3 linked regions of the Cricetulus griseus genome follow. The protein of the gene in region 1 purifies or fractionates together with the protein of each later gene. This does not show direct contact. Links are inferred from orthologs where the notes say so. Each region holds a gene or a part of one and is shown on either strand. Other genes may lie near its edges.

Region 1 (4,108 bases):
GAACTGGTCTAACTTGTAGTCCTTCTGGCCCAACCACAAGGCTCTGGTGGTCATGTTCTGTCTGTATACCGCTGAGAAAGATTTCTATTGGCCATCCCATGCTCACCCCTACTCCCTATCTATATACCTAGTTCCTCACTAACCCATTCTCCATTCTCATCTCTGTGGCTGGGAGAATTTTTAAATAGGAGGATCAGATTTGCAGCCATATGATGTGTGTATTAAGATATATGTATATTATCCTTATTTTACAATTGTAGGAAGAATACAAGAGACACCAGAAGTTTAAGGAGAACGCATTATTACACATCATCAGTGGGGTATGTGGGGCAGTGACAGGGAGATCCCAGGAGCTTGGGGACAGCTAGTTGAGGTGGCAATCTCCGGGTTTAGTAAAATACCCTCCTTCCCTCTCCCTCTGCCTCTCTCCCTCTCTCTCTCACTTCCCAAGTGCTGGAATTAAAGGCTCCCCTTGCCCTGCCACAGAGAGTTCAATTACACAGGGCTTCACTAACCACAACCTCCAAGGAACATAAATGTTTTGGGTTTTTTTTGTTGTTGTTGTTGTTGGTTTTGGTTTTTGTTTGTTTGATTGGTTTTGTTGGTCTAGCACTGCATCCCTGGAGCCTAGGACTGTGGCAGCCCAGTCCTTATGCTAAAGAAGAGGTGACTGAAAACAAACACTCTGTCTTATGCTGCAGAGGAACCCGGCTACTGTAACTGCCTCTTCCTTACTCCCCCTACCTCTGGAGCATGGCTGCCTGCCCAGCTTTGACTGTGGCTCTTTGTCCCTTCCTTCCTCCCAACCCAAACCATATTTGGTCTCTGCTCAGGGTCCTGGAAGCACTGTGCGTGCAGGTGTTCCCCACCCCGTCTCTTTCCACACTGTGATCCGGACGATGATTCCTTCCCATGTCCACAGTGCTGACTCGTCTCTACTGGTGCTCCTATCACTGCTTTCACAATGAGCAGAAAAATCTCTTCAGGTATCAGAGCACAGCCCTCAACCAGCTGCCTGCTTCCCACTACCTCAGAGAGAAGGCCAAATATAACTCATGACAACTGCTTTTGCCATGAAGAGGCGTGTCATCAATTGGGTTGTTCTTATCTGTGAGGGCACCTGGTTTAGCTTCTCTCTGCCAGAAGCTAAGTCTGTTTGGCTTCCTCACCCCCATGTTCATGTCACACATGTCTGAAATGCCCTTCCTGCCTTCTCTTTCCAAAACACAGGCCCCACCTTCTTGAGTGCAGATGTTTTCCAGAGGACTCACTTCCTCTCGAGCCTGCCTGACTCAGCTCTGCCAGTTTCAAGATCGCTAATTATTAAATAGTCTTTCATGCTTACCTCAACCTTCACCCACCTCCTCCTCTCCTCCCTTAGTGACTATGATGTAACGCTGTCTGGCATCGGTGTTCCTGGTATCTGGTTGAATGTCTGAGTACCTATAAGATCCGGAAGTAGCCAAACAACAAAAAAAATGGATGATGAGGTAAGACTAGACCAGAATCATATCTGAGTCTTATCTAGCTACTTACTACATGGGTGACCCTCAGCAAGCTAATCTTTTTGGACCTCTGATTCATGCATGTTTGTCAGGAGAGCTAAAAATCATAACTATATTATTATTTACTGAGCAATTATTCAGTATAGTCATTATTCAAAGAACTTCTTTGTGTAGCCCTTACTGTCCTGGAACTTGCTCTGTAGACCGGGCTGGCTTCAAACTCACAGGGATACTCCTGCCTCTGCCTCCCTAGTACTGAGATTAAAGGCATATGCACTTTATTTAATCTTCACATCAACTCGAACATATAAATAAAATGTTTCTTCTGTTACTGAGTTTTTTTGAGACTATGTGGCAAAAACTAACCTGGAACTCCTTTACTAATCCAGGTTGGCCTCAACCTTGACATTTTTTTCTCTCCTCCCAAGTACCAGGGTTACAGGTGTTCTCCAAGACATCCAGCTTTTTTATTTTCTCATTTTGAAAGAGCATCTTACTGCATAGCACAGGCTGGCTTCAAACGCAGGATCCTCCTGCCCCAACCTCCCAAGGGCTTGGATTAGAGGTGTGACCCATCATGTTAGGAAGAGTCATGTTTTAAATCACTCTGCTTCTACCTCCGTGTGTGTGTGTGTGTGTGTGTGTGTGTGTGTGTGTGTGTGTGTGTGTGTGTGTTCATATGCCTCACATATATACAGAGCTCCCATCACAATCATAGCACCAGGAGCAAAGATAACCAGTAACTTACGTATGTTTTCCCCACTGGGACTGATGTATACAAGTCCAGGAAAAATCATCTTTTTTCCTCTAAAATAAGTGACAGGACCTAGAAAAAGACTGGGGACATAGTGAGTACTTTAAGTACATTTCCAGGGCACAAAAGGTGAATTGATAGGGGAGGGGACATGGTTGGGATGAAAACCATTTCAACAACCTTAGTGGGACCTGGAATGGGGAGGACATTAACAGAAAAGCAGAGAGAGAGAACAGTGCCATTCTGGACAACAATGAGAAGAAAGCTAGCATTCGGGAGAGATGGACATGACAGTATCTTTTAGCGTTTGTAGTTTGAAATACCTCTAGAACATACTCAGTTTCTTTTTTTCATTTTCTTGTTGTTGTTTGTTTGTTTGTTTTTGGTTTTTTGTTTTTTGGGTTTTTTTGTTTTGTTTTGTTTTGTTTTGTTTTGTTTTTTTTGAAACAGGGTTTCTCTGTATAGATTTGGAGGCTCTCCTGGAACCAGCTCCTGGAACCAGGCTGGTCTCGAACTCACAGAGATCTGCCTGCCTCTGCCTCCTGAGTGCTGGACTAAAGGCGTGCACCACCGCCCGGCCTCGTTTCTTAAAAATCAGAAATCTCACGATTACTTAAACTGGCCTTAAACTCTATAGAGTTTAAGTGGTTCTCAACCTGTGGGTCACCAACCCTTTGGGGGTCGCATAGCAGCTGTTCTGCAGATCAGATATTTCTATTATGACTCATAACAGTAGTAAATTACAGTTATGAAGTGGCAATGAAATCACTTTATGTCTGGGGATCACCACATGGGGAACTGTATCAAAGCGTTAGGAAGGTTGAGAACTTCCTGCATCAACCTCCTGAGAAGCTGATATTACAAGCACCACCACGGCCCCTGGCTTTTTCCAATGGGCTTCTGAATGTGTCAACGCATACGTATACTGATATGTAATTATTATTATCATTATCATTATGCATGTGGACGGACATCTGGGCTAGAGACTTGGGTACCATCACCTTCCCGATAGCAACCATGACTGTGGATGAAATTAAGAGAGCAGGCAGGAACCTGAGAGTTTTTGACAGCCGAAATTCGCTGGTGTCAGGTTGTTGGGGAAACTTCTTCAACTAGGTTGCAGTTTGAGTTGGTAACGGGAAGCCTTTCCATGTCATTCACACATTCGCCAGCCACCTTTGCTCACACACTCCTAGGCGCTAACAAGAACTGGATGACACACACGCAGCTCCCTCCCCGAGCCTGCAGGGGGCGCCGCGCCTCCCCTCACACGGCGCGAAGCCTCTCTAGCCAGGCTGGAACTCGGTGGCAGCGCCGGGCTGCACGTCCCGACACCTCTTCCCAGAGAAGGTGGGTTCGCCCGCGGGGGAGAGGGTGCTGGGATCAGCGGGACGGGCGGGCACTGCTCTCTCCGGGTGCCTCGGCTCGGGCCCGGCCTACCGAAGCTCCGGTTGTGGTGAGTGCCTCCGCCTGATCTCGCAGTTCCAGCCGCGGGACCTCTTCACTCAGGCCCGCGGGCAGCTTCCGGGAAACACCTGGGGGGCGGGGCTGTGTGGGCGGGGTTCCGTGATTGACATCTTTCTTCGCAGACTGAACGAACTACCTCAGGACCCCTCCTCTGGACCCTTCCTCTGTCCCCGACGCTGAGCCGACACCATGGTGAGTCCAGCCCCCTGCCCCTGCATGCCCACGCCCTCACCCCGCGTGGCTTTCTGTGGGGCTTCTGCAAGTCTGCCCCTGCAAGACAACCTGCATTTTTATCCCCCTACCCATCCCCGTAGCATGGGCGCCTGAAGGTGAAGACGTCTGAAGAGCAGGCAGAAGCCAAAAGGCTAGAACGGGAGCAGAA
Region 2 (4,253 bases), on another chromosome or scaffold:
AATAAGAGGTTCTTCAAACGACTAAGGGGCACTTTTTTTTGTAAAGTAGCAGGCTAGCGTAGTCTCACTGCCTCCTCAGTGACAAAGGTTAAAGCAGGTGAAATCACATGTAAATAGCAGCCCCAAGCCACAGGCTCATGCATGGCCAAGCTTCTAACACTTGCTTTTTTACCATACTTGTATTAGCTGCTACTCCTACTACCAGCCCTGTGTGTTTACATAATATACAAAAAACTCACTCCGTTTATGATTATGTGTTCCTCTGTGCACCCGAGGTGGTAGCAACAGTAGTAGCACTCTGTGGATATTAATTTTTGTGTAGATAATGATAAAACCTGAACACAGAACACAGAAGACGATGCTACCTTAAGTTAAGCAATGTCGCTAATGTGAAACCCAAAAGTAAAATAAAGCTAATGACATTCAGAGATTCTGGATTCCTGTAGCCAATTCTGAAAAAGGTGAGTCACCACAAACCAGATGCTGACAGATTAGCAGAGCTATTAGGGTACCCAGTGTCTTGGTGTTGAAGACATGTGAACAGCGCTTATCACAAATGGCAGCTGTCTTTCAGTGACAATATTGTGAGACCAGGATGAAAATACTTCCAGTCAGTTTTAATTTCGAAGGTGTTCTGTGCTTTACAAGTCCTTGCTGTGTCCTTGGGGTGTCTAGCTGGATGGTAAGTGTGTTACTGACTCCAGGATGTCTGCTTGCTAACCCTCACCTTCAAAGATAATGTCTTCTGGATTTGGTGGAGGAGGGCAGAACTCTTCACTGGGAAAGATCTCCTGGAACAGTGTTTCCGCTTGCTTAACGGCATGCTCATTCCCCAGTCCACAGTCAGGCCCAGAGCAGATGTACACATTGGAAGGTAAACCATGGTATGAGCTTCGGCTCACTCCTGAGGAATCTCTCATATTAAAATAAAGGGCCCACAAGAGTCTTGGTTTTCTGAGTTCTTCCTCATCTGTTTCTGCTTCTGCAAAAGGAATGAATAACTGCTTAACTACTGGTTCCAAGTCTTCTCGGGCTGTTTTTGAAGAAACACAGGTCAGGTGGACCAGATAGCTGTCCTTCATGCACGTCATGGTTGATGAGCATAACTCCATGACCCGAATTGAGCTGCTTCCAGGCTCTAGTGGAGGCACTACCAGAATGGAAATTTGATGGTCTGAATCTGTCTTTAGGATGGACTGATCTGTGATAAGCACAGCCCTCGAGATCTGCTTATATTGCACATTTGAACAGGTTTCCTTAGAAAGGTAACTGTCCTCCACAATAAAGTAGTTGGCACTTATTCTCTGACCAAAGTGGTCAATGACCCCTTTACATCTTCCAGAGTCTTTATCAACTACAAGGCATTGGACTTTATGGCGAAGACAATAGATTCCACCAAACACTGCACACATCCTGCAGAAACACTGGGGGATTTCTCCTTGGCCATATAAAGGAAATATAAAGGGAGTGTTGCCAAACCGTCCAAGACACTGAAGAAAGGTTTTTGTTGCTTTAAGACCATCTAACGTAGTGCAGGATGGTTCTGATGTCATTGCAATTGAGTGTAGTATGAAATGTTGGAGGTTGGGCGTTAACTTTTTAGTTTTTAGGTACTCAGAAAATGGGCATTGTTTGAAGTCTTGGTATTCATCAGAATGCTGTTCATAGTCTAAACAGAATGTGAGGAATTTCATTAGCATTCTCTTCTCAACCACGGTGAGCGCTTTACTACTAAAGACATCTGCTCTGCAGCAAGGCACCTGCTCTACCTTCCCGTCCCGAAACGCAAGGATCCTAGTGACATTCTTAAATTCTGCGTAACGACTAACGTTTGATTTGATGAGAAGATCAATCAATGATCCTTGAGAATACAGCAGCTTCGATACCAAGTCAATATTAAATCTCCGGCTCTCCTTAATCATTTGAGGGTAAGTAATCCTGTTTCTCTTTGGTTGTTTGCTGTTGTCTTCTATATCAGGTTTGTCTTCATCTTTATCTCCATCTGAAACTGTCTGGATGCCACCATCCTTTTCTTGATCCAGTGAGTTCTCTGCATCAGTTAAGGATGGTGACGGCTCCGTATCACTTCTCTCTGTGTGTCTAGAAGGTGCTTCGTGGCTTGAAAAGTATACTGTGTACCCTTCTTTGGGCAAACCTGCAGAATCCAGAGAGTCAGCCAGGGTAGCAGATGCCTTTGGGGAAGGACTTCTCTGCAGAGCATTGTTCTCTTGAGTGCTGTCCCCATCATCTTGACTGGCGTAACAGAAGACTTCTGTGTTCTCAATAGTCTCATCTTTCTTGCAAAGAGCGATGGCGTCTTCCGTTTCATGGATCAGGTCTTGCCACGAGGCAGTCATGTCTTCCTCGCTGTCATGGTTCTGTTCATAGTCCTTCAGCCAGGACAGCAAGCCTGTAAAGCTGAAACTTGCCCAATTCCCTCCATAGTAACTTCTGGAGTCAACATGCAGAACTCGCTGTCCACTTCTGGAACACGCAGCTGCCAGGATGGACTCAGGCAAACCTGTCCCTATAATAACTACATCAAACTCTGTGGGAAGCTTGTCTGCCATCCTAGGAGCTGAAACTTCAGGTCACAGCTGATGAAAGAACTCTGTATGGAACTAGGTCGAGGGCTCCTCTGAGGTATTTATGCTGTAATAAAATCTCTACTTGGGATCTTCAATCAGGAACACTGAGTTTGCAAATCCTAAGCTGTTTAACGCTTAACAATTTTTAAACATTAAAAAAAAAGTCAGTAGCATGGAAAACACGATAATGCATGTAATCGTATGTGAGAATACTCAAATGGATGCGTCCTTTTCATTTCTGCATTTCACCTTAGCGGGAAATGTTACCATGCATCACATGTGCATTTGTGACTGGAACTCTCCTCTGAAAGAAGAAAATTCAAGAAAAGAACACAATGATAAATAATATAAAAGCAATTTCATGCAACAGCAGTTTCAATCCACCGGAGTCTGACTTGTTAACGTGGCTACAAACCTCTACCCAAAGAAGTCATTAAATGCTTTCCCATAGGTCTTCTTAGTTCTTGAAAATGAACAAAAGATATTTAATATATTCTCTCCCCACAGCCCAGCAATACTGTCATAAGGCATGGACACAATATCCCACAAAAAATAAAAAAATTATACAATTATTTGATTGTTAATTATGTATCTGGACAATACTGTGAGCTTAGACTAAAAGAGATATGTGGCTTTACTGTGTTTATGCAAACATACTATGCTGAGTGAGCATGTCAACATAATGGCAGATATTTCTGTGGTCAGGAACATTTGCGGGTAACCCCAGACAGCTGCATAGGAGATTTTACATCCTGAACTACCCTAAGGATCTTGCAGGAGATACATGAGACATCCAGACATTACAAGAGAATTAATTCAATAACTGGCATTTAATGTATGTAGGTATGTAAAAGAACAGGCCTGAGGGGAAACAGTTTTGTAACATTTTCTGTGTCAAAGTACATGTGTAAGTTAAAGTTCTTGGTTTCCTGTATTAAACCATTTCAATATAAATAACATCTATTCATAACACCTAAGTGAGGAGACATTTACATTTTGCCAGACTGTCTCTGCAACTACGAATCTCTCTCTAAACATGTTTTCATTTCTAAAGAAGAAATGGGAAAGGACTCTCCTGTCCCCTCCCATCACATGCTGGCTATCTCCATGTGATGCTGGGTGTGGCTGGAGGCTGTTCCCTTGGACATACTCACCTGGAAGTCGGCAGGCTGGCACACTCACACACCCCACTGCCAGCCTTTTATGGCTCACCATGCATAGCAGCAGCAAGTGTTCCTTGGCCTCTACTTTTCACTACCGTTAAATCTGCTGACCTCTAGATACAGGTACACCTAAGAGAATGATACTTCTGATATTTACGAAACAAGCCATACAAATGGAATTTACACGAACTTCACTAAGTAGCTGGTCCGACCTGTCAGTTTAACTGAAACAGTGATCCTAACAAGCCCAGCTGGTAGAAACCTCGGACCAAGATTATCAGGGATTCTACTTATTTTTAGCTTTCTTTGAGAAGCCAGGATGAGAGCCCAGAATGAAGCAATTGCTTAGTCTACTTGTGTAAATATGTAAGAATAGGTGAATTACTTACTCGCCCTTCTTCTAACAGGTTGTAAAGAGGGAGACAGAATCTATGAGGACTAAAGTGTAAACATGTATTCACTTCCTCTAGGCTGAGGCTGGCAGTGGGGCCAGTGGGGCAGG
Region 3 (3,970 bases), on another chromosome or scaffold:
AAGAAAAGGCAATACAGTAAGTATTACAAGCACAGGAGAGCAGTTTCTCTATAGTAACTAAATACCACAAAAAAAGATTGTGTGTGTGTGTGTGTGTGTGTGTGTGTGTGTGTGTGTGTGTGTATGTGTTTACACTAATACATGTCAAGGCATTATGCCACTTCATGTACATTCCCTTCCTTATAGAGCTCTGAGTTTTCAGTCAGCTGTGCATCTAATAGCACCAGCCAAACATATTCTTCACGGGTGATAAGAGTCTGTCCTTCAAAATGAGTTGGTTATAGTGCATTTTAAGCAAGCTAGAATTCTATCTAAAATAAGAATATATTCCAAGTTAGGAGCTGAATTATGCTCCTATATATGGCATATGTCAATGTTATCATATATCCTTTATACCTAATATTTCTTCCTCCCTTGTGACTTTTTGGCCTTGCTGGAGATCATACAATTTGTTGCTAGGATAATTTTTAACCTGCACCCAATGGTAACTTTTCCACAACCCACAAAATTATTGATAAAATTATTTTTAAATGCCAAACTATTCTGAAATGACAATAGTGTACCCAAGCCAAAGACCACATTCTAATCATTTGTTTATGACCATCTTTCCTCCCTATTGAGATTCCAATTGGTTTTACCTCTTTAATCTATTCCTCCATAGTTCAAGTGCTGTATCTTAACTTTCTTTCTTTGGGTATTCTGATATTATTTTCCCTTATCTTGAAAATATGACTTTAAAGGAAACCTTTATACCAGGTCATGCAAAAATGAAAAAATAAAAAACTATTTAAGGTAGGTAGACATTTACAATATTCTTGGATGATTCTACTTGATGAAGCAATTGTCTCTTGGTGATATTTTAACTAGAAACATGCTTAAGGGGAACTATAACTCACAGCCTAGTTCTTTACTTGTTTCTGATAATGATATACTTCATTTTGCTTTTGTCAACAGAACTGAAGTTATGAAACACTGCTTTTCCTGTAAGTTATCTACGAATTAATGTAACAATGCCAACACATTTGAAGTCTACTTCAATGAAGTATTTCAGAAAGAAAGCAAAATGCTTTAAAAATCAGTTCAATTACAAGAAATGATTGAAAGTGTCAGAATCATTTTATTTGAAAAATGACTTTCACCAAATGTTTCCACTTTTGAATGTGTCTAAAAGAATTAATACATTTAATAAAAGTTACCATATCACCCAAATCAAGTAGAATTCAAGTAAAATTTAAAAAACAAAACGGGGAAAAAAAAAACACCTTACTCTAAAAATGGATGGTGTTGTTTTAGAGCAGACTGGGAGAAGTGAATAGTCTACTGTGTCATCCAACATCTGTTCATTGCAGTTACAACCAGGTTAGCTATTGTGGTAGTAATCTTCAGACTGGGAATAAACACACCTCCACTCTTCTAAGAACAATTAATTACTCCGGTATATCTACAATATGAGAATTTGTGTTTGGATAACACCTTTAAAGGCTATTTGATCTAAGCTCCTTATATTCAAAATTGTGGAAATTGAATTAGCATGATCTAGAATAAGTTTTCCCACTTATTTCTGCTAACATTGTACAATTTTGAGAGTAAATAAAAAGTGATTCCATTTCTTGAATACTGCTGGTCTTTGGATATTTACCAGCAGTGTGACTTTGGCAAGTTAGACTTCCAGGCTGCTTCTCCTCTTCTGTGTATTGAAGAGAATATCCATTCGAGCAAGTTTGTTGTTGGAATTTTGTGAATTGCTTAGTCTATTGATTAGGAAATGACAAACATTTGAAAACGAGTTGCTATTGTTTTTACTCTAAACCTGGAAATATGGCTATTCTTACTCTATGGGAACAGAGCAAATTAAATTAATACAATGGACAGAGTCCCATTCACCAAAGCTTGTGCTGCCTACCACATTCTACAGACAGCAGAAAAACCCACCCACTATCTCTTTTATCTTATGCAAACTACATCCCTTATAATTAAGAAAAGAAATGTTAATTGCTGACAAGTGTTGTAGGATTAACTAATCAACTAGAAGCGGAAGAGGATTTCTGACTCCACCCAAAACATGGAGAACTAATGATGGAAAAACAAGGAGAAGCTAAGGTCAGGCACAGGATCTGGAATGAACATTGGGGCTTATTCTGGGCACATCTAGTTGTGGTGTATAGATGGGTGAAAGAAAGCAATATGCTTCCTTTCTGCATCATAAACAAGGATGCCTTAAATACCAGAATGCAAGAATAATGGCTACCTCAGTGGGGAAAAGGCTCTTAGGGTACTCAACACATAAAAAAGGAGTCCACTTCCTTTCCCGTAATAGAAATACATGGGGGGGGGGGGGGGGGAGACTGAGCATCATTCTTATTAACTGCAAATTAAGCTACATCTGAGCTGCAACGTATCCTAGAATCATGTAAGTATATGGAAAAAGCCCTATGAGATGGCGACAGAAAACGATGGGGAATATAACCTTGAAATCAACGAGGGAAAGAGGCAATTATAGTATGCCAATGGCGTCTCCATTGATCAAATACCGACCCTCCATTCTCATGACACTGCAAACCCACCCTCCTCTAGGAAATTAACAGGAATCACCGCAGCAACCAACCTCAGCAATCGGCATCGACCAGATCGACCCCTACTCAAATGGCGCAAAACACCGAGGTTCCAAGCCCCTCCCTGGAGCTGCCAAGTCCCGCGCTGACTCCAGGCTACCTCACTTCCTTTGCCTCCTCCCTCCCAGGCTCGACCCCCGCCGTTTCTCGCCAACCATCGCCACTGAAAGAGAAACTAAAAGGCGAGAATTATTTCCTAAATTTTGTCTAGGAAAAACCACGGCCACACATACCCGTCCCTATTACGATCACATCAAACTCCGAAGGGAGATTATCCGCCATCTTGACAGGAAACGTGTCATGTGACCTTTGTTTGTGGCTGTGAATTCCTCAGGCCGACTCTCTGTAGAAGGCGGAAGGAAAAACAGTGCATTCTGGGTGTTGTAGTTCTAGGGTGAAGGGTCCAGGAAAGTGGCAAAGATAAAGTATTTGAAATGTTAACGAGAGTGGTAAAAGTTCTATTCATTTTACAGTCTTCAGTGAACTAGCTTATTTGTCATGGAGGTTTGATACGGAAAAGAAATGTAAGTATTCGACTCGTCGAGCATGAGGAGTACACCCCTTGACAATTACCGAACAAAAATTTGGTCAGAGACATTCAAGGAGGAGTGAAATTCAAATTCAATTCATTTTGAACAAAGGAGATTTTCATTCATGCCAGGAAAACTCTTACCCCTAGCATGTCTGTATTTTTATTTTTGGAACAAGAGACATCGATTTTCACTTCATTATAATACTGTCCAACTATATTCTGTGTATTTCCAGTGGGGGTGGGGGGGCAGGGGGAACCAACCAAATAAAAATCCCTTTGCCTAGTTTCCACAAAATGGGATTCCTTCTGTATTCTCTAATCAGTTCAAACAGCTGCCTAGCAATGTAAGTTTCAAAAGGAGGCAGAGAAAAGACTGTGAAAGAATAATAAAAAATAGTAGATGCTTAATAAATCTTTTGTTTCACAATCTGATTTCCAACCAAAATAAGAGGAGACCAAACAACTTTCTCCTACGAAGATGCTGGAGAAATGATTAAAGTAAAATAGACTTATATAGAAGTGGTCATAATTGATAAGTGAGCTAAAGGTTGTCTATGCCAAACAGTTAACATAGCTCTCATGAGTATTTTCAAGGTCTGTCACCTCCCACTCTACCACTCTACCTTATTTAAAATGCTTGCCTTTCTGAAAATACTAAAGCAAAAAGAGAGGGGAGGGTTGCATTGAATTAAGGAAAGTACTTTCTAATCTTGGGAATTATTCGTCTAATTATTTTCCAAGAATTCAAAATAATTCAAATGCAAGATGCAGTAGTGTGACAATCCTTTATACTGTCTAGTGTCTCAGGTGCTTATAGTCCCCCACA

The links.
Region 2: the proteins of Rabggta (region 1) and Chml purify together in Homo sapiens (co-immunoprecipitation; 3 studies listed by BioGRID and IntAct, counting the BioPlex papers as one, with this or other methods). This does not show direct contact. The link is inferred for Cricetulus griseus from reciprocal best matches to the Homo sapiens genes RABGGTA and CHML.
Region 3: the proteins of Rabggta (region 1) and Chm purify together in Homo sapiens (co-immunoprecipitation; 4 studies listed by BioGRID and IntAct, counting the BioPlex papers as one, with this or other methods). This does not show direct contact. The link is inferred for Cricetulus griseus from reciprocal best matches to the Homo sapiens genes RABGGTA and CHM.

The regions. Positions count from the first base shown.
Region 1 is NW_023276807.1:210,918,571-210,922,678, reverse strand, and holds the start of Rabggta (geranylgeranyl transferase type-2 subunit alpha), read left to right. Parts: upstream 1-1,290; 5' UTR 1,291-1,490; intron 1,491-3,455; 5' UTR 3,456-3,609; exon of another isoform or gene 3,610-3,715; intron 3,716-3,848; 5' UTR 3,849-3,915; coding exon 3,916-3,918; intron 3,919-4,040; coding exon 4,041-4,108. UniProt on the Homo sapiens protein: Catalyzes the transfer of a geranylgeranyl moiety from geranylgeranyl diphosphate to both cysteines of Rab proteins with the C-terminal sequence -XXCC, -XCXC and -CCXX, such as RAB1A, RAB3A, RAB5A and RAB7A.
Region 2 is NC_048598.1:18,011,594-18,015,846, reverse strand, and holds the start of Chml (rab proteins geranylgeranyltransferase component A 2), read right to left. Parts: upstream 2,820-4,253; 5' UTR 2,571-2,819; coding exon 717-2,570; 3' UTR 1-716. UniProt on the Homo sapiens protein: Substrate-binding subunit (component A) of the Rab geranylgeranyltransferase (GGTase) complex. Binds unprenylated Rab proteins and presents the substrate peptide to the catalytic component B.
Region 3 is NC_048604.1:58,850,207-58,854,176, reverse strand, and holds the start of Chm (rab proteins geranylgeranyltransferase component A 1), read right to left. Parts: upstream 2,810-3,970; 5' UTR 2,621-2,809; coding exon 2,606-2,620; intron 1,752-2,605; coding exon 1,640-1,751; intron 1-1,639. UniProt on the Homo sapiens protein: Substrate-binding subunit of the Rab geranylgeranyltransferase (GGTase) complex.